2 linked regions of the Drosophila melanogaster genome follow. The gene in region 2 interacts genetically with the main gene of each other region. Each region holds a gene or a part of one and is shown on either strand. Other genes may lie near its edges. The genes, in order: robo1 and Lrt.

Region 1 (17,231 bases), 2.1 Mb from region 2:
ACTTGAACTTGGAGTACAGACATTCGCGCATGTAGAACTTATTTTCATTCGCCACATTTGTATCCACAATTGTGCCGCCAATGGAGCTGACCTTCATCTTACCCAGGCTGGCCACGCTGTTGAGAAATATAAATCATTGTGGATATTTGCCTTACAAATTAATAAATAATCACACCTCATACCGCTGTCAACCTTTTGCAGTCCTCCCAGAATCGTCACCGCATTCAGATCGTCGAGGGCATCTGCGGTGAACATGCTAGCCTCCGCTCTTCGCTGTACCGATCTGCAGGACAGTCGGTAAGGAATTACTCTTTCCGCACGTAAAGCCATCACTTACGACACCGTCATCGTCTCGTAGTGGAAGGACCTTCCATCCGCTGGCTTCACCAGATTGCCAAATTGTTCCATCTCGTAGTTGCGCACATAGAACATAATGTCTATATCCGAGGACAGCCACAGAAAGATGGCCATTTCTGACTCCTGCGACTGATTGATTGTTTCGGCCACAACAAGCATACTCTTCGGATTCTGTCCCATTACCTCCTCGGCAATGTAGTAGTCGCCCAGCTCCTCTCGCATTTCTGGGTTCTCGACCTCTTGCATTGCTATAATATCGTCGTTATCTTCGGCCCTTCATGGGAAATATTTAAAACAAAACAAGAATGTTATTGAAACAGTTTCTTCAAATGCCTAACAATATCTAACAATATCTTAGTAGGCGATATCGATTTCAGACAAACTGATTAGTAGTCTGCTGCTTTTTAAGAGGCATTTGAATTTAAAATTTCAAATGCTATTTCTGATATAGTATACAATTTGAACAAGGAGCACAAAGAACAGAGCTTACAGTGCCTTCCGGTAAGTAATCCTCGGCAGAATTACGAACCTATCCACAATGTACAGGGACTGTGTGTTGTTATTCTTATCCATGCTATATTCCAGCGGGTAAAAGACCTGGGATATTTTTTCCAAATCATCGAAGGTTTCCACAAAGTGGATGGGTTGTGGCACATACGGACACCTAACAGTGATCAGAAACCACACCCTGCTCTCCCTGTAGAGCACATCCTTTATGATCTCAACCAGAACCGGGGACTGATCGCTCTTGTAGACGCAAAAGTTGAAAAACAACGCATTCAGCCAGCTAATGGACATGGATAGGCTAAAGGATATATCGGAAATAGATGATATATTCAACGTTTTAAGTCCTTGTATCAGTACCAGTATCTGGTGGACAACCATTCCAACCAGCAATCCGTGGGCAAAGCGGCAATGGAGGGATAGTTACGGAACTCGGCATAGGCCACCAATGCGGAGGATTCAGTGCAAAAAGCCAATATCCTGTAGGTCTGATAGGAATTGAACAGGGAGTCCTTGCCACGAAATTTCGGACGGATATTGCCGAACCACTTGACACCTGGCGATCGAATCAGCTTGTTGAGCCCATCCTGGTCTCCCGCTTGAGCCAAGCGAATCTGAAACTGATTCATCAGTGCGAATAATTTATGTGTGTGGTGTGTGATTAAAACTAAAAAACATACTGCGTTTATAAGCTTAATTTTATTACATGACATTTTTGAGTTTTTTTAATACGTATTCTTAGGCAGGACTCTTTGTGGGCAGTGTAATTCCATCTATTTGGTAGCATTCGGCTTTGGCATTTTCGCACATATCCTTAGTTCCTGCCTTGGCAGTGCCCTCCCACCGGAAGTAGGGACACTCGTGCTTCTGATGATAGTCACTGATGCACATGAATACCATCAATAGATAGGGGCGACAGGCTCCTTTCAGGAGCACCTTAGCCCCAGGACTGGCCTTTAAAAGGTTGTAGACCCCAACAGCATCCTTGCGACAGAACTCGAACATGGCAATGTGATAATCCTTCTCCTTGGGCCGATCCACAAATGTCTTTTCTGCATCCAGCTTGACCATCTTCATGTTGATGGTGTCGCTCTTACCAATGTACTTCTTTTGCTTGTACAGGCACTCCACAAAGCACTGAAGATACAAATATTTTCGTTATAATAGATATATAAAGCTTTAATTACCTACCGATAGAAACCTCAGTGTCTTGCCGATGTCAGCGTCCCCATCCACTGGCAACTTGGGTGAGTGTATAACGAAGCACTTGACCAGGTCCTCCTCTTCTCCTATATAAAGTTCAGAACAGCAGCCAGCCCTCTAAATTGAATTTTTAGACTTAATACGTTTGCTGTTCGGTTTTAAAGTAAGCTCACCGATGTGTTACACTTATCCTCAGTCAAGTCACCTGAAGATATGGCAACTGCAGTAGTTTCCTCATTATCCTGAGCCTTTGAAACGGCCACCAGAATTAGGAACGTCCAATAACAAACAATGTTGACCATTGCTTTTCGAATGTGATTAATTTACCATGGTCATAACATTTATAAAACCATGCGTGCTCATCATTTTGGATAAATGAATTTAAACCCAAATTGGATTGCTTAATTAAATGTAACAAATGTCCATTGTAATGACTGGAATTAAATGAGCGGATAAAGAAACATTTGCAGACAGTCTGATGGCTCGACATTTGGCAAATTGGCAGCGGTTTCCTGTTTTTATTTAAACGATATGTGGGTGACTATATAAGCTGTCGTAGTGGGCTGATTTTGGTATAAACGGCGGAGCAATGAAGTGCACCATTTTATTGAGTTTTTTCAGCCTGATTTGGGTGAGTTCGAGGAATGAAATTCACACTGTTTATATATATTCAAATACATGACTTAGTTTGCTGGTGGAATTAAAATTGATTGCGAGAATACGGAGGCCATTAACGAGGACCACATCCACTATTGCTGCAAGCATCCCGATGGACACAATGATCTAATCGAAGGATGTGCCAGGGAGACCAATTTTACGCTGCCCAATCAAAACGAGGAGGCACTGGTGGACATCACGGCGGACCGAGCCATCCGAGGCACTTGTTTTGGCAAATGCGTCTTTAGCAAACTGAACCTGATGAAGGACAACAACCTGGACATGGATGCCGTGAGAAGTTTGTTCACTGAAAGGTTTCCCGACGATCCGGAATATGCCAAGGAAATGATCAACGCCTTTGATCATTGTCACGGCAAAAGTACAGAGTTGTTATTTCAGCAAGAACTTCTTGGCTAACTGATATTTTTTTCACCAAAAGGCGAAGAGAATACCTCCATGTTCCTGTCGAAGCCCCTCTTCAAGCAAATGTCCAAGCAATTCTGCGATCCGAAGTCTAGTGTCGTCCTGGCCTGTGTCATCCGCCAGTTCTTCCACAACTGCCCGGCGGATCGCTGGTCGAAGACCAAGGAGTGCGAGGATACCCTGGCCTTCAGCAAGAAGTGCCAGGACTCGCTGGCTACTTTGTGAATAATGAGAATATCATTCTTCTGCAATAAAGAACATTAAATTTACGATTTACGACATTCGAATTATTTTGTTTAGATGAAAAAATGTTATGCATTCAGAATTATTCTGTATATTTGGATGTTTTTTTTTTTATAGGGATGTAATGGTAAACAAATACGATCAACTTGACATTAGTTAATATCGTATTTTTGCAAGTGATTTGATAACAATAAATCCATTTAATTAAATGTATTGCTGAGTTGGCATTCAATCACCCACCATTACTTATAAACCAAAAGAGCACATGAATTGAGAGCCATTGTTTTGCTTTAATCATTGGAAAATCATTTCGTTTTCCCAATTAAAATGTATTTCCTGAGGCAGGACTCTAAAGTGCTTACATAGTAGTCAGCACATCCTTGCACTTCCTAGCAAAGGCCAAGGTTTCCACGCACTCGGTGGTATTTGACCAGCGACTCGCTGGACAATTGTGGAAGAAGTTGTAGATGACGCAGGACATGATGATACTCGAGGTCGGCTTACAGAACTTGGCGGTGGAGAAGGCCCTAACAATTGGAAGTGATAGGAACTTTTCGGTGGCCTCTTCAGCTAAAATTTGGAATGGAAAAATTCAATTTTAAACTATGTTGATGGTTATTTTGCATGAGCTCACATTGTGTGTGACATTTTTCGTAGGCATTCAGCATTTCAGTCGCGTACTCCGGATCTGTTTGATGGTACCGCTTGTAGTACGAGCGCACCTTGTCCATATCCAGTGTGTTGTTCTCCATCAGATTGTAGTGATCGAAGACGCACTTGGCCCAGCAGGTTCCAACCATCGCCTGGTCCACGGTCACATCCACGATGGCCTCCTCATTGGGACTGGGCAAACGAAAGTTGGTCTGCTTGGCGCAAGATTCCGTGACATCGTCGTGGCCATCCTGATGTTTGCAGCAATGGTGGATGTTCTCCTCGTGAATACGCTCCATGTGCCGGCAATGAACTCGGACAGCCACGAGTCCATTCTGCATAGAAATATGCACATATTAAAGGATTAAAAAGTAGCTCGAATACGGATCCCCGATGGACCTTGAACTTTCAAAATTATTATGTACAATAAATCCGATCTAGTGTGGATAATCCATTAAAAACACCCTCGAACATTATCCAATCCAGAACAAATTGAAAACGGTGTTATGAGTACGTACCAAGCGCAGTGATATAATCACACAAATCACGAAACCAATTCTCAGCATGATGACAGCTTTCCAGCGGTTCGTCCTCAGTTTTATATGTCAAATGGTTCCCCTTTGATGGACAGCCCTAATGGCGTTTTCCACTGTTTCGCATTAATTTAATTCGCATCCATTATTATGGCAACAAACCTGGCGACGAAAAGCGAAATTATATGGAGTGGGTGGGCTAGTGAATCTTGTCATGGCAACGCCGGCAGTCAATTTATTATTTATTTTCCAAGGCGGCTCTTTGCTCGCCTAATTAGTCAGAGATTGGCCTTTGAAATTTGATAAGCTGATTTTTGGTAGCCGTAAAAAAAAAAAACTAAATCATGGGCAAAAAGGGTAAAGGAAAAGGCAACAAATTGGCCAACATGTCCGAGGAGGAGCGGGCCAGGTATTTGCAAATGAGGGCCGACATGGAGGAAGAGACGAGGCGGCGGAAAATGCAGCTCATTTCCATGTACATGAAGGTAACACACCACGAATTTGCAGTAAATCAAAATCAAAATCCCTATGGTATGACTTTTCCCATTAAAATAGAACAAACTGAAAAGAGAGGATGCTTTTGGTCGACTCAATATGGCTAAAATCAACCAGGAGTGGCGGAGCATTTTGCGCCAGGTGAAAATCCAGGAGCTGCGCCGCGAAATCGTCGATGTGGAGTCTTTCTTTCAGGAGGCACTTAAGCGCAAGGACCAGGTGATCCATCGCCTCATTGCTCACATAGAATCCACCGAGGATATGTACGCCAATCTGCAGCAGTCACACATGGAGAATATCACCAGGATAGTTGGTACGATTGGGATAACATCCTTAAAAATAACATTTTAATCAGAAACTAAATACACAGCTACAGCAATATGTTTAAAGATACTTAAAATGAATGGAATGGATTTCACATGTATATTAATGCTTTCGTTAATAAGAACATTGAAATATTTGGAAATCCAAAAATTACTGGAGTATTTTGATGTACATTTTATGAACAATAAGAAGCATTGTAAAATGAAAATTAAAATGGACACAAACCATTCAACGCAACTAGGCCTCATTTCTAACCCATTTATTTCTTATCCTTTACCCAGATACCCATAGAGATCGCATCGAGTTCTTTCGGACGATCTACGAGGACGACAAGCAGGCGGTGCTGAGCCAGTGGGAGCAGGACTCCGCCGCGTTCAAGGAGATGCATGCCCAGAAGCAGCAGCAACTGGAGTGCGTCTTCTATCAGCTGGAGGAGAACACCGATGGCGGGATCCGGGACAACCACGAGCGTTTCTTGGACCGCTGCGAGGACCTAAAAAGTGGGGTGAGTTTAATCCTAATTGAAGAGCATGTTGCCGTGCTCCTCCCAATCCTCGCACTGCGCCTTCGCGTACTCCGACATGCACTTGACCAGTTCCCGGGCCGCTGAACACTTGTGGTGCCGGCCCCTTCCGTTGCTCTCCAGATAGCGGAAGCACTGCTGCACGGTGTCCGTGAAGAAGTTGCGCAGCTCCCGGTCCCGAAGGTCCTTGGTCAGCAAATAGCTCACCTTGCGCCGATCGGGCATCCCATTGCCATCCACCTGTGGGTGAGAATTGAAAGGAATAAGCTCCTGCTTCTCTGAAGGATTTCGACTTTGAAAGGAATCTCTTGGATCACCTACCATATTCATCTCCTCGAAAAAGCACTGGGCCACACACTGACCTCCATCGTTGCTGGTGTGGTTCCTGCCATCCGATTGCCTTAGTCCTCGCTGCCTTCGATTGCCATAGCCGCCCCTGTTGCCTGGATTCCTGTCCTGCTCCTCCTGATCGTGATCCATTCCGTAACCGTACTCATAGCCATTTCCTTGCCGGCCCTGTCCACCTCGTCCTCGATCTTCGTCCTCGTCCTGGCGATGCATACAGTTGCGCACAGTTCGCTTGAGCTCCGCTTCACTTAGTCCCTCCTGGGATCTGCATTTCAGTGCGTAAATGGAGCAGGTGCCGCAGCTCAAACAAATCAGCAGGAAAATCAACTGTTTCATCTTGGGAACTGAATGGAGGAGCAGCTATGCCCACATCATTTATAGTTCTGGAGAATGGCATCCAAATTACAGAGTGACTGACGCACAATGAACCAAGACACATATCAATCTTAATTTTACAATTGCGTGCAATGCTCTTCGATGATTATATTTTACAATAAAGGTTATTTTAAAAGTTTATGAAAACATGTTAAATTGAACCCCACTTCCAGATGCAACTACAGCTGGAGCAGATCACCTCCAGAGGTGAAGCTCGATTGGAGAAGCTGTGGCAGGAGTATCAGGGTGTTCTGGCGGGCTACTGTCAGCACATCGAAGGCTTTTACTCGGAGTACGTGGATCTGAAGCAGCGGGATGAGGAGGCAGCCCTCCAGATTAGCCAGCAGACCCACGAAATCGAGCACCTGGTAGACCAGCTGACCAATTTGCGTCTGGTCTCCGAGGAGTTCTACATCAAGCAACAGGGCCAACTGGAGCAGCGGCAAGCCATCAAACAGCAGTTGACCGAGCGACTAAGGGAGCTACGCACCTGTGTGGAACAGGAGGTGGCCAGGGATCACCAGTTGTTCAAGCTGATGTCCGTGGAGAGCTACCATGCCTTGGAATTCCTCCAGGAAACTGTGGCCAAGGGCGAGACTCTGGCACAGTTGTCTGCGGTCTGTGCCAAGATGGAAACCCAGCGGGAGCGGATGTTCCAGTTGCCGGAAATATCCAAGGAGATTATCGAGATTCGAGATATAGAGGATCAGGGTAATGGTTCCTTGACTGACCCAGCCACTGATCTTCTTAAGGTGAGTAAAAATGCCAGTAGGTAATTTCTTCATTCAACATTGGTTTAACGTACCAGGACGAGGTGGCAGTGGTACCCCAAATGGAGTCCTTCTGGCGACGCGTCAACAACGTGGCCGTGGACGTGGCCTGCCTGAAGCAACAGAAGCGTCGCCTGGAGGCGGAGAACAGCCAGCTAAAGACGCAGCTGCAGGACTACCTGGTAAATTTGAACATTGCCAATGGCTCCAATAGCCACGTCCATAGCTATCTAGCCCGGCGGCCCAAGAGCATGTCCGTGGACAGAGTGTCGCGCCTGCAGCTCCAGCCCAAGCTGGTGAAGAGTGCCCAGCCGACTGGTCGTCGCCCAGCGGCGCCCACACCTCCCACTTTCCACTTGCATCCAGGACGCAGCCGAGCGCCTGCCTTCGAAGCCAACCTCTCCAACGTGGTTCTTTCGAGGACTTTGGCTAGGGGAAAGATGAACCTGGCCAGAATGGAATAATTTGCTAGACTCTGTAGTTATTTGATTAATGCAGGGAAACTATATTAAACAAAACACCTTAAATTGGTGTAGGAACTATTCTCTACCATAACAATTATCTATATATTTTTATAGTATTTTACAGTTGGTTCTACCGTGAACATGAATATTAATATATACGTATTTAAGCAATCACACACAAATTATATAGATATTCTGAATAAAACGGAATTTTTTAATAAACCATTCAACATCACAATACATACATTAATTTAAATATTTACATTTTATTAATATCTTAAAACATAGTTGGTATATCTTTCGATTTCAATTTCAATACAATAGAAATCAATTAAAGATTCAAATAGTTACTTTACGCGGCGCTACCAGATCAACTGATAAATATGTCCTCTGGTATTTTCGAGTATTCCTTTTCGGTACACCCCAAAATATATCGATATATCGATTCCGGGCGTTGCGCTCTCAAATTTCCACAGACACGACCCACGTCCAATTGTGAGTTTTCGCTGCGCCGTGAATCGCACTAAAGAGCAGGAAAATAGTTAATTTCCAACAGTTAAATTGGAGTAAGTTTGCACCCAAGAAAGTACGATCCAACCGCGAAGCTTCCATTTGAAGTAGATACTCGTTTTCGGATATTACAAAGTGCAGCTGCTGCGGATGTAAAGCAAATATTACAAGGAGTTATAGATACAACACTCTGTTATAGATATAGATACAACAACAACGGGGGGAAGTCCCAGGAACGGCAGGCGGTGCGAGCGAGAGGCAGCTAGAACGGCAGTGTGTGCGAGTGAGAGGGGTGGCGGGGCAGTTCTTGTTCTTGTAATTTTACCAAAAAGAAATTTCGTTCGGGAAATGTGGAAAATGTGCGCGAGGAGAGATGATGGAGAAAACAACCCCGAAAAGCGAGCAATCGTCGAATAAATACCAACAAAAACTTACACTGCGCGGCTGATTAATAAAATCCAAAAAATAAAAAGGAAAATAAAAACCAAATCAGCGAACGATACAAAAAAAGCGTTAGAAAGAAAGTGTGAGAACGTGAAATCAAAACTCCGAATCAGAATTTGGATTGTAAATTTTCGGGTCGGTGCGACTGAGACTGAGCGATAAACACAAAGGCAGATAAATACGGAAATAAAATTAATGGAAAACCAGCATAGACACATGTGTGTGGGTGTGTGAGTGTCCAAGTGTGCGTGAGTGTGTGCGTGTGTGTGTGCTTATCGCATGGAAATGCAAGCGTAAGTGGAGCAGGCGAGAAATAATTTCGAGTTTTTGGACAGATAAAAAGCAAAAAGCAAGTAAAGCCCATAAATGCCTAGCCATAATGCCGCCACGCCTACATATGTAACAGCTGCCCACATTTAGTTAACCCACATACTATCACCTATCATGCATCGCAGGACCCAAAAACAACGCCAAAATGATCGCCGCTGCATTGGGTCATCTGTAGAGTCGTCATTGCAACAGCACCAACACCATAAAATGCATCCCATGCATCCCGAAAACCACGCCATCGCCCGGAGCACGAGCACCACTAATAACCCATCTCGCAGTCGGAGCAGCAGGATGTGGCTCCTGCCCGCCTGGCTGCTCCTCGTCCTGGTGGCCAGCAATGGCCTGCCAGCAGTCAGAGGTAAACCCATCCTGGGTAATCCTCCCCAGGCCCAGTGGCTAATCCACATCCTTCCTACTCCTTTCAGGCCAGTACCAATCGCCACGTATCATCGAGCATCCCACGGATCTGGTCGTTAAGAAGAATGAACCCGCCACGCTCAACTGCAAAGTGGAGGGCAAGCCGGAACCCACCATTGAGTGGTTTAAGGTACCCACCAAATAATACTTTTCTAACTTGAATCACCATTACACTGGCAAAAGAAAACTTGATCTTAATGTTTTCATATCAATATTGTATATTTATTTATCTTTAAATATCAAAACAAAAATGAATTCAAAAATTATACAAAATATAAGTGGTTTTGAGTAGTTGTTTTTTTCCGTGTAGCCTTCGAAACCGAACCAAATCGTAACTCAATCACCCCCTCTTCTTTCCGCTCTCAGGATGGCGAACCCGTCAGCACCAACGAAAAGAAATCGCACCGCGTCCAGTTCAAGGACGGCGCCCTCTTCTTCTACAGGACAATGCAGGGCAAGAAGGAACAGGACGGCGGAGAGTACTGGTGCGTGGCCAAGAACCGAGTGGGCCAGGCCGTTAGTCGCCATGCCTCGCTCCAGATAGCTGGTAAGTTAGTCCGCCACTCTAGTCTGCTCTCCAACTTGTCTGCCCACACGCCCAGCTTTGTCTCCGATTATAATGTGCTTTTTTGATATTTTTGCAATTTTTCTTCGCTAGTTTTGCGCGACGATTTTCGCGTGGAGCCCAAAGACACGCGAGTGGCCAAAGGCGAGACGGCTCTGCTGGAGTGTGGGCCGCCCAAAGGCATTCCAGAGCCAACGCTGATTTGGATAAAGGTGGGTTCCGAAAACCAGACTGCGAAAGTCAGTTGTCTAAACCGCTTTTTGTGCTCTTAGGACGGCGTTCCCTTGGACGACCTGAAAGCCATGTCGTTTGGCGCCAGCTCCCGCGTTCGAATTGTGGACGGTGGCAACCTGCTGATCAGCAATGTGGAGCCCATTGATGAGGGCAACTACAAGTGCATTGCCCAGAATCTGGTAGGCACCCGCGAGAGCAGCTATGCCAAGCTGATTGTCCAGGTCAAACCATACTTTATGAAGGAGCCCAAGGATCAGGTGATGCTCTACGGCCAGACAGCCACTTTCCACTGCTCAGTGGGCGGTGATCCGCCGCCGAAAGTGTTGTGGAAAAAGGAGGAGGGCAATATTCCGGTGTCCAGAGCGCGAATCCTTCACGACGAGAAAAGTTTAGAGATATCCAACATAACGCCCACCGATGAGGGCACCTATGTCTGCGAGGCACACAACAATGTCGGTCAGATCAGCGCTAGGGCTTCTCTTATAGTCCATGGTAAGATTAAGTTCCATTACCAAAGAATCGCGTTTTAATCTTCAATTGTTTTCATTAAAGCTCCGCCGAACTTTACGAAAAGACCCAGTAACAAGAAAGTGGGACTAAATGGTGTTGTCCAACTACCTTGCATGGCCTCCGGAAACCCACCGCCATCTGTTTTCTGGACCAAGGAAGGAGTATCCACTCTCATGTTCCCAAATAGTTCGCACGGGAGGCAGCATGTGGCTGCCGATGGAACTCTGCAGATTACGGATGTGCGGCAGGAAGACGAAGGCTACTATGTGTGTTCCGCTTTCAGTGTAGTCGATTCCTCTACAGTACGGGTTTTCCTGCAAGTCAGCTCGTTAGACGAGCGTCCACCTCCGATTATTCAAATCGGACCTGCCAATCAAACACTGCCCAAGGGATCAGTTGCTACTTTACCCTGTCGGGCCACCGGAAATCCCAGTCCCCGTATTAAGTGGTTCCACGATGGACATGCCGTACAAGCGGGCAATCGATACAGCATCATCCAAGGAAGCTCACTGAGAGTCGATGGTGAGATGGTGATAGAAGTTCTGGCTTCCATTTATTACAATTTCATTTTCCCTGTAGACCTTCAACTTAGTGACTCTGGTACCTACACCTGCACTGCATCTGGCGAACGAGGAGAAACTTCCTGGGCTGCCACACTAACGGTGGGTTTGAGGGTTAATCCCCTAAGCCATATGCAAAACTAACCAATGAAAAACCTCTCACTTTAGGTGGAAAAACCCGGTTCTACATCTCTTCACCGGGCAGCTGATCCTAGCACTTATCCTGCTCCTCCAGGAACACCTAAAGTCCTGAATGTCAGTCGCACCAGCATTAGTCTTCGTTGGGCTAAAAGCCAAGAGAAACCCGGAGCTGTGGGCCCAATCATTGGGTGAGTTAACGCGGCGCACCCATTTAATGAGATCATCAATAAATTTGATTTTGTATTGCAGATACACTGTAGAGTACTTCAGTCCGGATCTGCAAACTGGTTGGATTGTGGCTGCCCAACGAGTTGGCGACACTCAAGTCACTGTAAGACAAGCCGTGAATATTTAAGTTTCCTCATGACTCACACATTCTGCTATTTTTATATATAGATCTCGGGTCTCACTCCTGGCACTTCGTATGTGTTCCTAGTTAGAGCTGAGAATACTCAGGGTATTTCTGTGCCTTCCGGCTTATCAAATACTATTAAAACCATTGAGGCGGATTTCGATGCAGCTTCTGCCAATGATTTGTCAGCAGCTCGAACTTTGCTGACGGGAAAGGTAAGCTAACATAATCACTAAAAGCGAAATCCGAAAACTTAATTATGTGTTTAAACAGTCGGTGGAGCTAATAGATGCCTCGGCTATCAATGCTAGTGCCGTAAGACTTGAGTGGATGCTCCACGTGAGCGCTGATGAGAAATATGTAGAGGTAAGTCCATCCTTTGTTGTTTATAAACAAACCAAGCTTATCTTTTCAATACCTTTCTGTCCAGGGCCTGCGCATACACTATAAGGATGCCAGTGTACCATCCGCACAGTATCACTCGATCACTGTTATGGATGCCTCTGCAGAATCGTTTGTGGTGGGAAACCTTAAGAAGTACACCAAGTATGAGTTCTTCCTAACACCCTTTTTTGAGACAATTGAAGGACAGCCCAGTAACTCCAAGACAGCCCTCACCTATGAAGATGGTAACAACTAGAAGCTAGCTAAGTTAAGTGCTGGGTATTTATATTCTCTTGATTGTAGTTCCCTCCGCACCACCGGATAACATTCAGATTGGCATGTACAACCAAACAGCCGGTTGGGTGCGTTGGACTCCGCCACCCTCCCAGCACCACAATGGCAATTTGTATGGCTACAAGATTGAGGTCAGCGCCGGTAACACCATGAAGGTGCTGGCCAATATGACTCTTAATGCTACCACCACATCTGTGCTCCTAAATAACCTAACCACCGGAGCTGTGTACAGCGTGAGGTTGAACTCCTTTACCAAGGCAGGAGATGGACCTTACTCCAAACCGGTAAGTTTATAGACATTTCATTTGAATCATTTTATATCTTCTTATTATTCGACAGATATCACTATTCATGGACCCCACCCATCATGTGCATCCGCCACGGGCACATCCAAGCGGCACCCATGATGGGCGACATGAGGGACAGGATCTCACGTATCATAACAATGGCAACATACCACCTGGCGACATTAATCCCACCACTCATAAAAAGACCACTGACTACCTATCTGGACCATGGCTAATGGTGCTGGTCTGCATCGTTCTTCTAGTCCTGGTTATTTCGGCGGCTATTTCGATGGTCTACTTCAAGCGCAAGCATCAAATGACCAAGGAATTGGGTCACTTAAGTGGTTAGTGCTGATTTTAAATAACTTTTTTTTTTCAATACAATATAACGATTTGAATTTTCTAGTGGTCAGTGACAACGAAATAACCGCATTGAACATCAATAGCAAAGAGAGCCTTTGGATAGACCATCATCGTGGATGGCGAACTGCCGATACTGACAAAGACTCAGGATTAAGCGAATCGAAGCTACTATCCCACGTAAACAGCAGCCAATCCAACTACAATAACTCCGATGGAGGAACCGATTATGCAGAAGTTGACACCCGTAACCTTACCACCTTCTACAATTGTCGCAAGGTGAGGATCATATGAATTGCATCACACAACAATTTCTTATAGGAAATATTCTTTCAGAGCCCCGATAATCCCACGCCGTACGCCACCACTATGATCATTGGTACCTCTTCCAGTGAGACCTGCACCAAGACAACATCTATAAGTGCCGATAAGGACTCGGGAACTCATTCGCCCTATTCTGACGCATTTGCCGGTCAGGTGCCAGCGGTTCCTGTTGTCAAATCCAACTATCTTCAGTATCCGGTTGAACCGATCAACTGGTCAGAGTTTCTACCCCCGCCGCCAGAACACCCACCTCCGTCTTCTACCTATGGATACGCACAAGGATCTCCTGAATCTTCACGGAAGAGCTCCAAAAGCGCAGGTTCCGGCATTTCTACAAATCAAAGGTACATTAATATACATTCTTCAAATAGTTGTTATTGCCTTTGGGTTCTGTGACTAACACTTTAATACCCTTGCAGCATTCTGAACGCCTCCATACACAGCAGCTCCTCGGGCGGCTTTTCAGCTTGGGGAGTTTCGCCCCAATATGCTGTCGCCTGTCCACCGGAAAACGTTTATAGCAATCCGCTGTCGGCAGTGGCTGGCGGCACCCAGAACCGCTATCAGATAACGCCAACAAACCAACATCCGCCACAGTTACCGGCCTACTTTGCCACCACGGGTCCAGGAGGAGCTGTACCACCCAACCACCTGCCATTTGCCACACAGCGTCATGCAGCCAGCGAGTACCAGGCTGGACTGAATGCAGCGCGATGTGCCCAAAGCCGCGCCTGCAACAGCTGCGATGCCTTGGCCACACCCTCGCCCATGCAACCCCCACCGCCAGTTCCCGTACCCGAGGGCTGGTACCAACCGGTGCATCCCAATAGCCACCCGATGCACCCGACCTCCTCCAACCACCAGATCTACCAGTGCTCCTCCGAGTGCTCGGATCACTCGAGGAGCTCGCAGAGTCACAAGCGGCAGCTGCAGCTCGAGGAGCACGGCAGCAGTGCCAAACAACGCGGAGGACACCACCGTCGACGAGCCCCGGTGGTGCAGCCGTGCATGGAGAGCGAGAACGAGAACATGCTGGCGGAGTACGAGCAGCGCCAGTACACCAGCGATTGTTGCAATAGCTCCCGCGAGGGCGACACCTGCTCCTGCAGCGAGGGATCCTGTCTTTACGCCGAGGCGGGCGAGCCGGCGCCTCGTCAAATGACTGCTAAGAACACCTAAGGATGAAGTGTTTGAGACTCTCCGAATAGGGGGATTAGGATTAAAGATAGCATCTAGTCTAACTCTTCATTCATATCGAACTGGAAATCAGTCTAGGAACTGAGTGAACTCAAAGTTTCTGCATCAGTTATCGAATAGAATAATTGATGTCTGGAGTCCACTACAACATGCGTCTTCGAAAACTGATGCTAGCAGATAAAGAGGAAACATGTTGCAGTGGAATCTTCGGTATTACACTCAGATACACAAAACCACACTTGTCACAATCATGGGGGCATTGTGCAGCTTTAGCAATTACGAATTTTTCCATTATCACATCTACCAGCGTAGAGACTCATAGACAGGCACAGTGCCCCTTCCCCATCCATGCACCACAGAAATGTTTCCCCAATGGGAAACGAGAACCTTTGTACTTAAGAGACGCGAGTGCTGTACGATAGATATTGCTTCATGAGCGCGAGGAGATAGTAATCACTACATAGCAGGGATCTGTGTCCCAGCAGAACTTCATTAAAATACGTACTCAAAGGAACTTATAGCAGATGATAAACCAGATCAGGCCATAGCAAGTACACACAAAGACGGTGGTTACTCAAGACGAATGTAGTTAGAACCAAAGTACACCATTTGTACAGCATGTTTTGGGGGCTTTTGAATCGGTCCTAGTCAATAGGCTTGATAGCGATACAATACGATACTGATTACGATACTTGTATGCAAACTCTTTCATATCTACGATCACAATCGAGCACTTGTCTCCGACTCGAACTTGTGGGGAGTTGTTGAGTGGAGTTTGAAGGCGACAAGTGAAACGGCAGTTGCAATGTTTAATGGTTAGTGCTTTTCTATAACAAGGAATAATATACTTCATTGACCCAGTGAATATATATATATATATATATACATACTAAACGACACACCACACTACTACTTACATACATAGCATTTAGACGAGTTGAGGAGCTGCACACGGCCAGCCGAACCAACCCCAGTTGTCCGTTCCGTTGTCCTGTCCCTGTGCAGATCCCTCCAAGACACAATGTTTTCTACAATCTTGCATTTTGAAAAGTCTAAAATGTACCTGTGATATAACCCCATTATACATTATAGTATTTTAATAATTTTTATATTTATGGTTTCCTAATTTTGAGTCGCGTTTTTTGTTCATTCTGTTCGATCGACGAGGAATGTTTGTTAGAAATCCCCACACAGACGGATTTTTTTTGGGCGAGTATATAGCATAATTTAGATCTTAGGCACGTATCACATTAGAAATGCAAAATGGATATATCATCAAATCAAATCGAATGGAATCGAGGAGGAGTAGAGTAACGCTCAGATAGTTCGGCTCGCCGAAGAGGCCCAGACACTTTTCCACTAAACCCCGGATCGTGAGTTGAATTGGGAAAAAAGGGGGCTCGCGAGAAGTGGTTGGGCATACGAGCTGTGGATATACGAAGTATCCAGGGGGGGACTAGAGTCAACGAATCGTTTAAACAATACTAAACACATATGCATTACACTTACCTATATAGAGATCATATAGCACCTAGAACCGCGCATGTATCAAATCAAATCAAAATATGCTTTAGCATACACTCACACAAATCCACTTCCTTGCTAGCCGCCCAGATCGGCCGGCATGTACATATATATATTATATATATATACATAAAACATACTCCTAATCCCAGTATCGAAACCAACTTGCTTGAGTTGAACTGCCCTTCCGTAGCCATATACATATAGAGAAAGCATAGTTGGGTCTGGGTTTTAATAATTAGCAACTAGTTTCTAGCGTTGTGTAACGGGAGTATTTTAAAGTCATAGCGTAAACGAATTTTAAGAACGAAACGAATCCTTTAACGAAGCGGACATTTAATTTTTAGTGCGTAATGCCATAAACGAACTTTTTCAAAAGCAAAAATAATAACTGACATTTACTTACGATATAAATACTATATCTAGATATATACATATAGCATTTAAAATTACATAAACAATAAAGGAACATTTTACATATATGTGGAAATTAAGCCGTTTGTTTTGGTTGGTACATATATCTGAAGTTGAACTGGAGGTTTTAGGATGCCTTTCCTTTATCCTAAGTGCACACTTATTTTCGCATTTCCTGGTACCACTTCAGTTTTTATTTGACCGATTCCTTGGCAGTAACGGTCTCCGATCGCCTGGCGGATATCAACATATGTACTTCTACAGAATTCCTCTTCAGCTGCAGCGGAACTTTGCACTTGAGACGCTGACAACCCTTAGGATTATACCATGACCCCTCAATCCAGTTTCAGTTTACATCGGTCTACACTTCCATGTGAATCTGGAAGTGTAAGTCGGTCCACAAGCTGGACAAGTGTTAATTCCCAACGGGACTCTATAAACTCATGTATCCTCCTTTCAAATGAGACCACTTCTAGCTGCAGGACACGCCCTAGGATCGGAAATTGGCTGCTTT
Region 2 (15,451 bases):
TGCTGCGTCTGTTGCGGTTGACTTCCTACCACCGAATTGAAGCGGCGTTGATTCACCTGGTAATCCTCACCAGCATCGTGCACCACCTCGGGCTTCAGCTCATTGGCGTTATAGTAGGGACGTCGCTGATACTGACGGGACACGGGAACGGCACCTGGACTGCTCCGCTCCAGTCGCGTGATGTTGGAGCAGCCGATGTTCAGTTCCGAGTCGGGCTTCTGCTCCTGGATCATGACCAGACAAAATCGATAGCTTCACGGAAAGTGCACATTAGTTATTAATTCTGGTAATCGGTCGGTGGACAACTCACCTCTCGCCTATTTCCAGGGAGGAACTGTCCGGCACTATGACGCTGACTGTGTTCTGGCCATTGACCACTTTACTCTCGCAATGGATCTGCAAGGAATCAAATTATGGAATAAGAAAAGATCCTTCATGATCGGTTTATCCACATTAATTACCGGTGAGTTATCTATTAGAATTTCGTTGATGTGCTCCTCCTTGTAAACAAAGATTGCATCGCACATGTAGTCCTTTTTGCTCAGATTGAGTAGCCAGGTGAGGATCAGTCCATAGTCTGTCGAAAAGTGCAGCTCATGTAGAATAATCTGTGGTAAGGATAATGATAAGTATTACACGTTGTTACAGCGAATTTCTTTATTATAGTACTGACCTCTTCGGACAAATCTTTGATGGGCGACGTCTGATTGGGCTTGGCTAACGTTTCCAGGTGCTGCATGATGTTGGCGTTATCCTTCTCCACGTTGTCCATGTCGCAGCTGAGCGTCTCCACGGGCACCTGGAGTAGAGGAGCTCCTTCCAGTCTCGGGGGCGTCACACACGAGGCACTCAGACTGGAATGGAGCTGCGACTCCTGCAGCCACTCGGCAAATGGACGAATGCTGCAGTCACAGGACAGGGGATTCTCCTGCATCTGCAGGCTCTCCAGTTCCCTCGCTCCGTCCATGGCGTTTCTTGCCACAATCGAGATGTCATTGCCCGCCAATCGCAACTCCCGAAGAGATGGTAGCGGTGCTATCAAATCCGAGGTCAGTGCTCGCAGGAAGTTGTGTGTAAGATCAAGTACGGTCAAACGTGACAAATGCTGCAGTGAGGCACTGGAGATGGCTACGATGCCGTTGTAGCTCAGATCCAAGCTGTCCAGTGCACCCAAGCCGAAGAAGGCGTGATCCTGCAGCACATCGATCTGGTTGTGACGCAGTGAGAGGCTCACCAGTCTCGAGAAATTGGCCAAAGCCTTGTTCTGGATGCTCTTGATCAGATTCCGATTGAGATTCAAGCTCTCGAGGTTCCTCATTCCGGGCAGCGTTTGCTCGCTCAGTGGTCCATTCAGGTTATTGGCCTGCAAGTCCAGTTGTCGCAGACTGAGGCACTGACTCAGTGACCTCAAGCTTTGGGCATAGTCACCCAATCGATTCCCGCCCAGCTTCAGCACCTCCAGCTTTCGAAGATTAACAAACGTGCGTTGGGATATGCTAGAGATTTGATTGTTGCTCAGCTCCAGATAAACCAAGCTAGTCAATCCCACAAAGTCCGCCGTTCCCAGAGCCTTGATCTTGTTATTGGCCAGATCCAAGCGCTCCAAGGCGCTCAGCGTGGACAGGGCGTTCCAGGGCACGCTCATCAGTGCGTTCCCGGGCAGACCGAGTGCTTGCAGCGGTCCTCGAATGCCCAGGAAGGCGGACTTGTGTACCCGCTTGATCTCTCCGGACGAGATTACTAGTCCGTGGAGCGAGACATTGTCGAAGATCTTCGCGTCGCTCAGGAAGGTCACGTTGCGCAAGGAACAGTCCAGCAATGATATGGAGTAGGGAGAAGTGCGTAGTCGATCCGCCAGGAGCTGTAGAAGGTATAATTATGTTAGAAATCAAGCTACAAAGCAAAGATGTACTTATCAATACTCTATAAATATTTGTATATTACTTATTAGTTAGTAGATTATTTATTTATTAAGAAATATTTTAAAAGTCTTACTAACTAGACTCCGTGGCGCAACGGTAGCGCGTCTGACTCCAGATCAGAAGGTTGCGTGTTCAAATCACGTCGGGGTCAAAGTTGAGAGTTAAAATATATATATTTTGTAAAAATTAATAGCTCATAATATCCCTCATATTGATGCGCGAAGTATACATATTTTCAACATCAAAATATGATTTTTAAACAGAATATTTAGAGTGCAAAATATGTTACCTCTGACCCCGACGTGATTTGAACACGCAACCTTCTGATCTGGAGTCAGACGCGCTACCGTTGCGCCACGGAGTCAATTGAAAATCCCACTGCCTATTTGTGATTTTAAATTAATTAAATCTAAGTATAAATCACAAATATCATTGATAATACTGATAAGATAGGTGCATTCGACTCCGAAATCAGAGGTTAATATACGACTTTAAATATTAAGATAGCATGCTAAATAAATAGAAAAATATAAGCATAAAATGAATTGATCGAATAAATCTCTATCTCAATCATCTAAATTGTATAGATAAATCTGGAAAATGCCTAGAAATATCTCACCATCATCCCGTGCAGATCAATGTTGCATCGAAGTGTGTGAGGCAGATCGCATCCGCACTCGAGTTCCGCGTTCCGGGTACCCGTGATATTGGGGCACTTCCACTCCATGAGGGCATCATCCACGGGCAGCGGCAGCGAGGACACCTGCTCCGCCTTGCGCTTCCTCGGCGAGCTCTTGTTCACATACTTTCCGGATGTGGACTTGGACTTTCCTCTGCCGGCAACGAGGGCGGGAACCGCTGCCGCCGATACCACATAGGCGGTGGGCGTGGTGGGCGAGGTTACTGAAGAGGGAATGGTGCTGGAGGTGGTGCTGGTGCTGGAACTGGTGGTGCTGTCCTCTAGCAGATCCTTGAGGTCATTGGCCGCTGCCAAAGTGCACAGCAGCAAGAGCATGAGAATTGCACTGTAAGTGGAAAAATTTTCATGGAAATTAGTGGGACGAGCATTGAAAAACGAAAACACTTGGATGTCTGGATGCTTGGATGCTTGGATACTGGGCGGGATGCACTTGCTCTCCTCGCACAACAACAGATCATGCGTTTTTAGGTCAAGCCGCAGTTGTCACTGACACTCTGACACACAAACACCCACACATAGTGCATCTGTGTCCAGTAACCAGTATCTAGTGGATGCGTTTCGGGCTAAAGATTCCCATTGTTATCTCTGCAAGACAATTTGCCAATTTACGGCTTAACGCAATCAAAGCGATTTATTGAATGCACTGAGAGCTAAACTAGGTTGCTTTTTTCTAATCCCACATGGTAACAAAATAAAAGTCATATTTTTTAAGCTGGCAAAGATTGAGATACATTCGAGATTGCCCAGACAAAATTAGTTCAAACATTTTTTGTATTAAAACTGGGATGGGAGTATCCCCATCGATGAGTAACCCGCACGATTTTTCCATGTCACCAGACCGCTCCCGAATGTCGCCTCCCACTTGGAGAAGAAAACAAAAACTGCGTGCGAGGCTTTAAAAACCCAGATTTCGGGCGCTACGCATCCAGTGCCGTAGAAATAATTCCGCAGCAAAGTGCCCAGTGCTCGCAGTTGCCGCGGAGGGAAGCGCTTCTTGGATCTTTCGAACCCAAAAGGATTAGCAGTGGTCCCTCCAACATTACAAGCCCCTCCCAACCCAGCATGGCCAGTCACTTGCCCAAAGGTGGTGCGCTCTTCCTGGTGCTCAATCTTCTCCTGCTTTCGCAATGGGAGACCGAGTCTAAGCTGCTCACGCGTTGTCAGTTGGCCAAGGAGCTGTTGCGCCATGACTTTCCCCGCAGTTATCTATCAAATTGTGAGTAAATGTATCCTAAATAAGTTAATTAGTAGAAATATAAATTCCCATTTAAATTTGCGCAAAGGGGTTTGCCTGGTGGAAGCGGAGAGTGGACGCAGTACATCCAAATCTATGCAGCTGCCCAATCAGAGCGTCAGCTACGGTCTGTTTCAGGTGGGTCAACCCACGTTCCTTATCAAATATATTCTAAAGCGCAATTTCGCAGATTAACAGCAAAAATTGGTGTCGCAAAGGTCGTCGTGGCGGAATCTGCAACATCAAATGCGAAGGTGAGTTCGCAAGACTTCCCAAAAACACCCACATATAATGACGGTCTATGATCTCCTCTCCCTTCCCCGTCCGCTGCAGAGTTCCTTAACGATGAGATCTCGGATGACTCGCGATGTGCCATGCAGATTTTCAACCGCCACGGATTCCAGGCCTGGCCCGGATGGATGAGCAAATGTCGTGGGCGCACGCTGCCCGATGTCTCGCGTTGCTAGGACTTCGACTGCTGCACTTGGACTCGCTCATAGTCTTAACTAACTCTACTCATAGCTACTAAAGTTGCACATACATAAAGCCTAAGTCAGTTTCATTGAATAAGGTGTATTTATTTTACTAATCGCGTGATTAAAGCATTTCCAGGAATTCCCGCTATCAGCTGCAGCGAGATGTAATCGCAAAATGTTGTTTTTTTGTCCCCACGTTTAAACAAACACCTTTGACAAATTTTAGCTATCAAATGGAACGTTCATTTTTATAGGTGTACAAAAGAAATGAAAAAAATTTTATAATCATTTTACTGCAATGTTTAGACAAATTTAAGTCTCTTTTAATACCACCTACGTGGATCTAAATCTTAAATTAAACATAGTAGCTAGCTAGATCGCGTTCATAAAACTCTGTAGTATCTTTTTATACCAAAAATTCCGATAAAGCACATTATCATAAGTTTGGATCATTGAACTCGGGCTTCTTCGATTGATAAATGCTTTCATTCACAATTATCAGGATGGGTTTGGTAGTCATGGATCCAGCCCAAAACCCTCTCCGTTACCATCCAAATCATTTGATTTGTCAGAGAGTTCAGGTGGTATACTTTCAACCGTGACTAGCTAGTACCTTATCAGCATTATCAGGCTGGCGAGCAAATTCGTTTGGTTGGCTTGCTGCTCTGCGATCGTCGTTTTTGGGAGAGAACTGCCGCCATTCGAAAGCGAACTGAGGCGCAATTGTATCTGAGAAATACTTGGGCGTTCAGTACTTAAGCTCGGGCCAGCAGCGTCGCACCGGCGGGCTAGCTTCTCATCGGATCCGATCGGGTGTGCAAATCATACATATAAACATATGTGTTTGAAAGCACGCCATCCCAAAACGAAACGCGGTAAGAAGACTCAGATACAGATACAGATACAAATACAGATACTCGTGCTCCCCTCAAAAAAAAAACTCGTTTCCTGCTGCCGAGAACTCTGTTGTTCTGCGTTAATTAGGTAAACAAAGTAAACAAACTGTTTGCCGAAGTAAAAGTGTTCTGCTAGAGGAAATATCTTAAACTCATTACTACTACTACATTTGCCTGCATGGAAAACTGAATGAAAAGTGAAACGTGCACAGTGGGTTTCCTTTATGAAGGAGACTTTAAAACTGCGTTGAAGTTAATTTGTGTTTTTGGTATTAGATAACCGTGACTAGTTAAACTGTTGCGAATAAATCATATTCTTTATTATTTACATACGAATTTTTCACGTTTTAATGACACGTAATCAACATGTAAGGCAATTCTACAGAAACAAAAAAGTCCAACAAAAAAACGACACTAATTTATAGAAAAATTATTGATAATTAAAAACGAAACAGGTAATAAAATAAAATAAAAAACAGTAAATAATAAAATGAACACAACCAGTGATGTTAATCTCATCATGATAACTCAATATCTATTAACTTTATAAATATGTTTTACGTAAACAAACGTGATGGACATTTCTCTAGATAGAATGGATGAAATATAGATATGTAAGTAACAATAAAGAAGTATAAAGATGCCAAAACATTCAAGGCTTCGTGAACGCGTGGGAGTAAACAAAGGTGTATATAATGATAATTTTGTAGTGCTTATTATTAGGAATAATATTGTTTGGTGTTAAATAGAAGACATGCCATGGGAAACTGCGAAAAGCTACAGAACTGTGAAAGCATCTCCACTAAAAATGCCAACTGTCCATTGGTAATTCCACACTTTCAAAGATTGTTAAATATTCGAACCAAAACCAGGTGTTATATGTAGCTTCGAAATGGGAAAGTGAATTTATACGCACAACAGAGCTCTTTGAACCGTTTGGGTGAGGAGTTAAGTATGTCCATAAATAATGAGGATCACACGTAAAACTAAGCAAAATACCCTCTAATGCAATCGATGTTGCCTTCTCCTTCTGATCTCCTTTTAGATCTGATGAACATGAAAACTTTTTGTTTATGGATAGTTCCAGTGCTGATCCTGCTGCAGCTGGGAATCGAGCAAGTGGAGTCCAAAAAATATCAGCGCTGCGAACTCACAAGAGTTTTGGTGGAGAACTACAACTTCGACAAGACCTTCATTTCCAACTGTAAGTCATTACTACAAAATTAAATCCATTGAATTAAAGCTAGTTTTGTTAGGGATCTGTTTGGTGGAGCACGAAAGTTACTTGGACACCACCAAAGTAACGAAAAAGGGAAACGAAAGCAAGAACTATGGCCTCTTTCAGATCAACAGCAAGGATTATTGCAGCGAAGGACGAAAAGGAGGGCAGTGCAATATGAAATGTGAAGGTAAGATTGCATTATACTAGTTATATTATCAGCAGGAAACAATTTCAACTGTTCAATCAATCAATTTCAATTCAATTACTCTATTGAGGTGCTTGTTTTGCATAAAAAGTTCACTAATCACGCATCTTTGGCAGACTTCTCCAATGACGACATCAGTGACGACATCGCCTGCGCCAGAATGATCCAGGAACGCGAGGGCTTCAAATACTGGAAGGGCTGGGATCGCTTCTGCCGCAATCCACAGAATCTGCCCAATCTCCGCGTGGCCTGCAACCTGCGTAGCCTGTCTCCAGTGCGATCACCTCGTGGATTCTTAACGGGCTGAACAGCTATGTGCTATATGCTACTTGAACATCTATCTTAAAGATACATACTACATATGTGTACGTGTACATAAATGCTTTTGCATAATTGCTTGGTCGGAGTTGCATTTCTTGGCTGATGCCCACACAGGGATCGCGAATCGGAGACTGAGGGCTGCCAAGTGGGCGACCTGGCACTTTGTTTGGGCGTTGCGATCTTGATGCCACTTTCCAATGACATCTGCAACTGCAACTGGGTGGTAATTGATAGTCCACAGAGCTGCAGCGCAACAGACTGCAAACCGAGACCCATTCAAAGTCAATCATAGCAAGCTGGGTTCTTGCCACCGCCACCACGACGAACAATATCATTTTGCATTTCCGCTCGACAAAAGGCGGCGTTTCCGTTTCTGGCCAACAATGGCCAAACGCACCGCAGGGCATCACCATCGGATCATTCAGGGAACCGTGCAAAGCCCCGGGGCAAACAATAACAGGTGGAGGCTCAAAAATCAGAGCGTAACTTTGTACTACAATGGCCAAAACATAAGCAGAGGAAACACTGGATCGCCGGTTCCATTAGAATGCGTTTTGCATATGTACGTGGTCAACATAAATCCGAGCTTTGCCGCTTAAATCGCACACCGAAAAGAAATAATCAGGATATGTGAAAATAAATGGGAAATATTTGTTCACAAATGGATTTCATGTTTATCTCAACTTCTGTTTTAATACGTGATAAAGATAGACTTGGCTACATAATTTGATATATATATTAACCAGTTGTTAGTGGCTTATACTTGACCATTATTTCTTTCTGTGCAGCGACAGCGAGTCAAGTGTTGTTTTGACCATTGCGTACACACCGGCAACATCCTCAACAATAAAAATATTTTAAAATGCAGCTCAGCACAACTCCACCTCTGTCACGCTAACTGGTCAACGATTCGAAACGTTTGAGTGCCTTTAATTTCCGCTGTCCCCCAGCCAGTCCATTCTGTTGGTTTCCTACCCGTCCTCAGTGTGGCTAATTATGCATAAAATGCCACGCCCCACACTTCCCACCGCCCGTGGAATCGTGGAACTCGGAGATGCCATCGCTGACCTGTCGCCAGTGAGTCAGCAGGAGCATTCGATCAAAACTCGATCCCCATATCCGTCTGCCGAGTTCCATGGGCCAACTATCTGTCTGTTTAGCCTCAGACTTAGCACGGACTCGCTAATCATGTCGCCACAACCAGTTGAGCCACTCCGAATCCCATCACCTCCATGTATGCTGCAGACTGGAGACGCCAGTTTGGGTTGATTATTCATTCATCTGGAGCTGCCAGCTCCCACACATCCGCATCGCCTGCCAGCTGTAGGCGAATTTCAAATGCACTCTAATAATCAATCGGGTTTTTAGCATGCAACTAATTTTATTTGTTTTTCAATATATGTTTCACATATAAGCCAGATAAACCGAAAACGTGCTGATTGGCATTAGAGAATAATCCAGTTTTTGGTTAGCAACATTATGACTTAACTTAATGGCAAGCCACCATTCTAGCTGAGTAAACCGCTTGAAATCTGCGCCGGTTGCTGTGTAGGCGCTCGGTTCGTAGCGCCATCGTCATCATCGGAGACCTGGGCACCAGGAACAACTGAAACTGCGGCAAGAGCCAGACGCAAACTGCCTGAAATTAAGGCACGTCAACGGAAATAAACCCTCTGCTCTGCACATGAGATGGTATATTGTGTGTGCTATATGGTATATGGGTGTAAACACGGCCAAATGGTTGGAAATGGATTGCGTTGGTAACGGCATTGCAACGTTTTCTGTGCTGCGCCGGATGATGCTGCATGAAGATCGAGAGATACAGCCATATGATAATGATGCCGCGAAATGGGTGTGAGTGCAGCTGACTCTGAAAACTTGCCGCAAAACTTCGAAACTGATTGGAAATCAGAAATAGCGGAGGATCGTTGTAAAAACGATTCTTATTTATTTTGCACATAATTTGTGGCCTAACTGGCATAGCAATGTTATTATTTTGTTTCTCGTATTTATTCCTCTCACCATTGCCAAACAATTTAGAGCTCCCAAAATGGTCAAAACATGCGATAAGCCACCGAACAATTAAAAACGCGTTTTTCGTTAGCTCGCCTTCTTTGGCAATAGATGGCAAAAAAAAATTTGAAGAAAAAAGATTATAAGTAATTGTAGGTAGACAGATAACGAATGGTAGTTGCTCTTTGAGCTTGGTTGTTAATTATACAGCTAGATGTTCATAAAAATAACAATCAATTTTGTTTTTATTACCCGATTTGCTACTTTAAGGGAAATGTGTCTTATTTTTTTTTTCTGTGCAGCAAAGTGTAGAGCACAATTTGGCGACAGCTGCAATTGTGTTGCCTAATTATTTATTGTTAAATATTTTATTTTTTAACCGCAAACGAATGAGCGAGCAAAAAAAACCAGCAGCAACTGTTGCAGCCAGCAAATTGGGCAACATGTAGCTAATCATAATGACAGCAACATGTTGCTTAGGCCAAAGGCGAAATTAGTAATTTGCTATTTTATTTTATTTTTATTTTTTCCTCATTTTATTTCGGTTTGGTTTCGGCCATATTGAATATCAACATGCTGGTGCATTGTTCGAGTGTTGAAAGCGCATCGAAATGTGGCACATACTGAACGAGCGCGTTTGTGTGTGTGGCAAATGAAATTTATGCCTAGCATGAAAATAGTAAAAGTTGCTGCAAAAGCCAACCAAAGGTCGAAATGTCACGCAAAAGTGGCAGCCACAGACGTGAGGTCTGAAAAATGAAAGAAATAAAATTGGAAAACCGAAACAGCTGCTTTCGAAACTGAACTCAAGTAGCCACACCAGCATCAACAATTGTGGTCTGTCCAGGTATTTAGCATGCCGAAAAAAAAGGGAAAAATGTGCCGACACAAAAGGACAGGAAACTGAAACATACAAAAAGGGATTTAATTGTGATGCCTATCCTGGCAGGCTTTCTTTACCCATTCAAGGACCCACACAAATAAGTCCCTTTCTATTAAGACGGAAACGGATGCCGAGGATCTGAAATATCAAATTTCCATTCTTATTTATGATTCTCGATGCTCGTATAAATGCACTCAAAGCTTAATCAGCATTTTTATTTCTGTTTATTTGGGCATTCGCTACAGATAATTATTAAGTGAGGTACTTATACATTATAATGCCAGTCTACGCTAAAATTCTGAGCACATGAAAGCTAATACAATCTCGAAGCTATCAAATATATTATATATTTTTTTGAAAGAAAAATTTTTCACATCTTTTTCAATTTTTAAATAGCCTCAACAACATCTGTCTTAATGTGGGCTCGCTGGCATTTTCAAATAGCTGGTAATATTGTCAAAGCGAACTGCAAATCACAGGTCTGACAAACTTGTTTCAGTTGTAAGCGACAAAAAAAAAGGCAGGCGGGCTAACAAAAGCAACAAATCCGAGAAATAAAATTAGTGAGTATTATTTTTAAGAGTGGGCCGACGACAAGTCAACGGAAACGTGTGGGTGGCTGACTGGCTGTCGTCTCTGGTTTTGACTGCTTTTTTTTTGCCGTTTTAGCCTTTGTTTGTCGAGCTGCCTGTGCTGGGCAAATTACTTTTTAATTGAACACACACGTGGGCAGCTGCTCGACTCGAACAATTAACCAAATCTCGGACAAAGTAAGCCATAAGTGACAGCAGTCGCTGCAAGTTGCGTCCTTTGTTTACATTCAGATGAGGCCAATATGTGAAATAAAACAAAATTCTGAACAATAAAATAATCTGGGTAATCCGCCGGGGGAAGAACTGAATCGGCTGATCCGATCCGATTCGAAGCGATTTCCCCTGGGGCAAGGTAAACAAACCATTTTCGAAGTTGTTTAAGCCGGCATTTTTATTTTATTTACCAAATCTTGCACTTTATGGCCCTCGCAGCCTCCGTCTGAACATGAACATGAATGAACTTGGAGCAGGCTGTGTTTAATTTAAATTAAATTGGATTTTTCGTTGGCCCGTTCTGGTCCAAAAATGTTTTTAAATCCGAGTATGCCTGCTTTTTTTTTTGTTGTATGCCATTTGCATATGAATATGGCCGACGGCAGCCGCTGCGAACAACTAAAAGCAATTTGAGCTCGAAATTTATGGACAATGTTTGGGTTCTGGTCTGTTCGCTCCTGCAGCTCATTTCACTTGCCTGTGGGTCATTTATTTAATGCGTATAAGAGCATTTAAATATTATTAACGTGAAAGGATCGTCGTGCCATATAATAAACTAAAACATCATATTATGAAAAAATGGACAGGAAGAAATCATTAAGTTCAAATTCATATTCCATCAAAGTAAAGCACCAAGAATTGGGCAATGAATTAAAATCATTAATTTAATTATAACAGACATCTTAACTTTGAATAATCTTTAAATATAAATAGGTATAAGTACAATTTTTATAGTGATGCCACCCAAAAGCTGGGCCTCTTTTGTAACTTTCCCCGTACCTCCCCCGAAAAAAGTCCACATCCGAGGCAACCGAGATACCTAAGAAACCAAGTTCACAGCCCACGCAAACCTCAGAAAGCCAGTTGAGACACGAGGAGGCCGCCAACGCATGTGCATAATGCTAAATCGACTGTTAATTGCGACATTTCGAAAGCCGTGACAAGTCGAGCCAAAACATACATACATACAGACCATAAAGACAGCAAGCCAATAAAATGGAAATCGCTGCTGGCGCGATATCAAAAATCAATGAAAATTTCGGGGGAAAATATTGAGAGAGAAGAAAGCCGCCATGCCATGAAAATGAGCTCGAAAATAGACAAAATTGAACATATTATGCGACATCAGTTGGCTGATAGATACTGCCGGAGATCTTGGTCTAGCCCACACCGACGGCTGCCCACACACGAATGCAAATGCCAGATAGACCCAAAGTTGTGTGGCAAGAAATTGCTCGGATGCTGCGGAGGAGTATGCTAAGTGAATGGCTGTTTAAGTTATGCATGCACTGCTAGAAAAAAGCCCTAGGATGATCCTAGCACACATTCTTAGCCAGCAGAGCATCATCATTGTGTGCTGGTGGAGATGGGTGGGGGGAGACCCAAAAAACATTAGCTCATTGGATCTCGTCGGATGACAGCGACACACTTTGAGCACAAAAAGTAAGTGGGCAGTAGGCAGCTGTCGTTGCGCTCCCATTGCCAAATTTGGCAACTGGTTGTGGAGCAACCACAGCAGCAGCAGCAGCAGCAGCAGCAAGTAAGTAGCACAAATGTCTCTTATTTTATCTCTTTTCCTTGGCTATGGGTATATGTGTATGTCCCGCATCAAGCGATCGCCCACGGTTGGCGAAACAAAAGACTTAGGCAACGAACTTGCCATGTCAAGCCAAGAAGAACAGAAACCAAATGTGTGTGGATTCCAAAAGCCCAGGCCAGGCGGCTAATGAGCCGCATGTAAAGCAGTAAAAAAAATTATATAAACATTAATTATGAGCAATCGTTTTTTGTCTACCCTCCGCTTTCGTTATTATTGTGGGCGTTCGAAAATGAAATGTAAACAAAAAAAAAAACGTCTTTTTCCATTCCCATTTCATTGTCGCCGTAAGTTAAGATCGAGCATCCAGAGCTGCCCGCTGTGAAAATGATGAGTTATATAAAATTAGAAGAGCTTGGAGACGGCAGAGAGGCAACAACAAAGCGCTAATTGCGCGTAAACCGAGCGGGGAAAACAGTGGAGCCTCCGTGTGTGGGTTTCCTCCATTGTCTCTCTTTCCACTCGAGCCCTCGAAATGCGTGGGCCTCTCAGGTGAATTGGGAAAACATTAGCCCATGAAGTTGTACGAAATTCGAGACAAACGCACACACACACACACACACAACGGAAGTGTCGTGCGTTGGGCGGCGTTAAACGACTTTTGAGCTGATCGAAATCATTATATCTATGAATTTTAATACGAGTTTATTATGAGCCCGCGGCCGAATCGACTTCGCGATTAGCTGGCTTTTGTTAGATTAAATTGTGCTAATTTCTGCTAGAGAGAGAGTTTTAAAATTCGCCACAAAGTCATGTGGTATTCAGAGCACTCTGATTTCTATCGCATAAATCGTTGTGGGCGACACAAATGTTTATTTGCCATCAAATTAACGCAGAGACCAACTATACACTCACCTAAGCTTTGGCCGCATTATGGGCGAGGTCCTCTTTATCAGCGTGCGAAACTTAAACAGAGCGACGTTGCTGGCAGCGTTCATAGAACAATAAACCGCATTAACCTGGCCGGAGCAACGTTTCCGTTTTCTACCTGATAACCGACGGGTCTCGCCCTGTGCTCCAGAACGTTTCTACTTGAAATGCGATAAAGATCTTTACGGTGCACCGGCGACAATGCGATCGGTGGGCCGTCAGTTGACACCCCTGGAGTTCGGGCTCAAGCTGGACTCGCCGCTCGCACACAAACACACTCGCGCACACACGAAATTAAAATTTCATTCATGAAAAGCGGCAGGAACTGCAGGTAGGTATGTACTTATATATATATATATGTATATGATGGTAACAATCAACAGAAAGAACCGGAAACGGATGCGTTGTTTGTCTTGCCCCCCGCCAGGATTCCCAGAGTTTTAGACGACTGGGATAGGGATGATGATGATGATGACGAACAGGTAGCGCTTGGCGAGCAATTCCAATTCCACCGACCGACGTCAGCAACGACCACTTGAGTATTTGGTTAAATTAGCATTTTCACAGAGCCGTACTCTTCGAGTTGCATGCGGCAAAACACAGAAACACTGAAATGGTAGGAGCAATCAACAGCCACGAACTGATCCCGACGACGTCTGAAACTCGACTGAGCGGCCTACGCTCAGGTAAGGCAGGTCGAGCCGCCAACAGAATGATTTCATGTGCGTTTTCCTCTCTTTTTTTCTTCTTTTTTTTTTTTTTTTTGGTTCGTCTGTGTTGTGTTCTGTGTGTGTTTGCCTTCGCAGTCGGTTCATTCACAAATACTGGTCCGATGAATGGGCTGCCGCCACCGCCTCTGCATCTACATCCGAATTGTGTGGGCAGGCATCAGGAATCGAGAAGCGGGCAGCGGGCATCGTGCATTGTCGAATTGAACATGGCTCGGTTCTCTTTTTCGGCTCGCCAAAGATCGCATACCGTACTGTTTGCTGTTTGCTGGCCTAACCCAAATAAGCGAGCCACTACTAAACTAAGCGAGCATTTCTTGGCTGGAAAATAAATCAAGCAGTTGGGAAAAAGTTCTCACACTCGACATGGCATCTGCTTGGCCAACGTTGGCCGTGGGCTATTTGATTTTCACATTGAGTGTGCCGCAAAACAATTTTCTTGTTTATCCATTTATTTCCCCATGCGGACTGGGAGTAGCGCAAATGCACAAATATGGACAGTGGAAAACGGGTTACAATGATTAGCACGCCGCACACACTTCGGCGTCTGGGGAATCTGAGTGGAAACGGGCCGCGTTAACTTAATTAATTTGTGCTATTGTCCAGGGCTTCGGTCTTGATGGGCACCAGCGAGGGCGGTATGTTCAGTGTCTGCATTGATTAAGGGAAAACCAATTAGCCGCATTGGTTGAGCTGTCATTACTGTGGTCAGAAGACTTACCTTTCCCGGGCAGGCGGCTTCGTATTGGTGCTTCAGGCTCTCCATTTCGTAGACGCAGGTGGATAGGGCGGTGCGAAGCTCGCAGAGCAATACCATATCGGAACGAAGCTCGTTGAAGGAGGTGCAAATGTCCTCCGTGGGCGGCGGAGCGGGATCTACAAAGAAAAGTTTTAATTAGCGACAGCTAGCAATGTTTTTTCATGCTTTGACTCACCAACTTTAAACTCCTGGATTGCCTGCTCGAGGGCTTTCACTTTGCGCTGGCCGATATTCGCCGGCAGCTTCATCCTCTGCGAGCGCAGAGAAACCCCGGAACCGCGCAGGTCGGCGAACTTGATGCCGCTGCTACCGATCTCTATGGCATTAACCACCGAGTCCACCCTGGAGGGTCGCGGCTGCTGATGTACCTTCTTTTTGTGCAGCTTCTTCTCGTACTTTCGCGTACTCGGCGTATTCGATGCGTGCTCATTCTGCTGATCCGCTTGCGAAATAAGCTTCTGCAAGTCTTGTGTCTTGCGCTCGCGTTCCTTTTTGCGCGCCTCGATTTTCTTCATCTCGTTGATAAGCATATTCTCCTCCTCCACCTGTTGTGTCGTGCGTTTGAACAGCTTCTCCAGCTGCTCCTTGCGGCGCCGTTCGTGCTCGACGTCATACACAAATACTTTCTTCTCACTCGTCTGATTCTTGGCCTTGGCGAGCAGAGCGACCACCTCATAGTAGCGTTCTTTGAGCTCCTCCACAGTTTTGGTTCCATGCTGCTGACGGTTCCAACGATCTGCCATCACAATGAAGCGAAGATCGAACCTGCAAATCAAATGGCTTACAATTTTGGCTACTTAATAAGAAGTCTAATGAAG

What was found.
Region 1: of Lrt (region 2) and robo1, changing one suppresses a phenotype caused by changing the other (phenotypic suppression), as found in Drosophila melanogaster (one study listed by BioGRID).

What each region holds. Positions count from the first base shown.
Region 1 is NT_033778.4:22,692,083-22,709,313, reverse strand, and holds robo1 (roundabout 1), read left to right. Parts: upstream 1-8,343; 5' UTR 8,344-8,436; intron 8,437-8,718; exon of another isoform or gene 8,719-9,117; intron 9,118-9,279; 5' UTR 9,280-9,361; coding exon 9,362-9,512; intron 9,513-9,579; coding exon 9,580-9,701; intron 9,702-9,937; coding exon 9,938-10,118; intron 10,119-10,229; coding exon 10,230-10,348; intron 10,349-10,408; coding exon 10,409-10,862; intron 10,863-10,922; coding exon 10,923-11,402; intron 11,403-11,459; coding exon 11,460-11,542; intron 11,543-11,608; coding exon 11,609-11,769; intron 11,770-11,830; coding exon 11,831-11,912; intron 11,913-11,977; coding exon 11,978-12,148; intron 12,149-12,206; coding exon 12,207-12,299; intron 12,300-12,363; coding exon 12,364-12,562; intron 12,563-12,620; coding exon 12,621-12,895; intron 12,896-12,950; coding exon 12,951-13,242; intron 13,243-13,304; coding exon 13,305-13,537; intron 13,538-13,594; coding exon 13,595-13,926; intron 13,927-14,001; coding exon 14,002-14,761; 3' UTR 14,762-16,790; and 1 more. Other genes in the region: CG30275 (uncharacterized protein), read right to left, coding at 1-116, 176-283, 338-631, 848-1,162, 1,222-1,490; Obp58d (Odorant-binding protein 58d), read right to left, coding at 1,600-1,998, 2,053-2,181, 2,238-2,366; Obp58c (Odorant-binding protein 58c), read left to right, coding at 2,654-2,695, 2,752-3,100, 3,161-3,369; Obp58b (Odorant-binding protein 58b), read right to left, coding at 3,746-3,957, 4,022-4,373, 4,557-4,604; Obp59a (Odorant-binding protein 59a), read right to left, coding at 5,908-6,153, 6,235-6,597; CG30259 (uncharacterized protein), read left to right, coding at 4,916-5,056, 5,127-5,379, 5,672-5,895, 6,810-7,388, 7,445-7,870.
Region 2 is NT_033778.4:20,644,726-20,660,176, reverse strand, and holds the start of Lrt (Leucine-rich tendon-specific protein), read right to left. Parts: upstream 13,818-15,451; 5' UTR 13,214-13,817; coding exon 13,131-13,213; intron 7,621-13,130; exon of another isoform or gene 6,963-7,620; coding exon of another isoform or gene 6,772-6,962; intron 6,638-6,771; coding exon of another isoform or gene 6,485-6,637; intron 6,433-6,484; coding exon of another isoform or gene 6,274-6,432; intron 5,208-6,273; coding exon of another isoform or gene 5,171-5,207; exon of another isoform or gene 5,081-5,170; intron 4,422-5,080; exon of another isoform or gene 4,324-4,421; coding exon of another isoform or gene 4,190-4,323; intron 4,111-4,189; coding exon of another isoform or gene 4,047-4,110; intron 3,995-4,046; coding exon of another isoform or gene 3,906-3,994; intron 3,839-3,905; coding exon of another isoform or gene 3,685-3,838; exon of another isoform or gene 3,568-3,684; intron 2,948-3,567; coding exon 2,542-2,947; intron 2,287-2,541; exon of another isoform or gene 2,215-2,286; intron 2,074-2,214; exon of another isoform or gene 2,002-2,073; intron 1,862-2,001; coding exon 674-1,861; intron 609-673; coding exon 462-608; intron 397-461; coding exon 311-396; intron 253-310; coding exon 1-252. Other genes in the region: CG11159 (uncharacterized protein), read left to right, coding at 3,685-3,838, 3,906-3,994, 4,047-4,110, 4,190-4,323; CG16799 (uncharacterized protein), read left to right, coding at 5,171-5,207, 6,274-6,432, 6,485-6,637, 6,772-6,962; DMAP1 (DNA methyltransferase 1 associated protein 1), read right to left, coding at 14,459-14,524, 14,595-14,749, 14,809-15,398.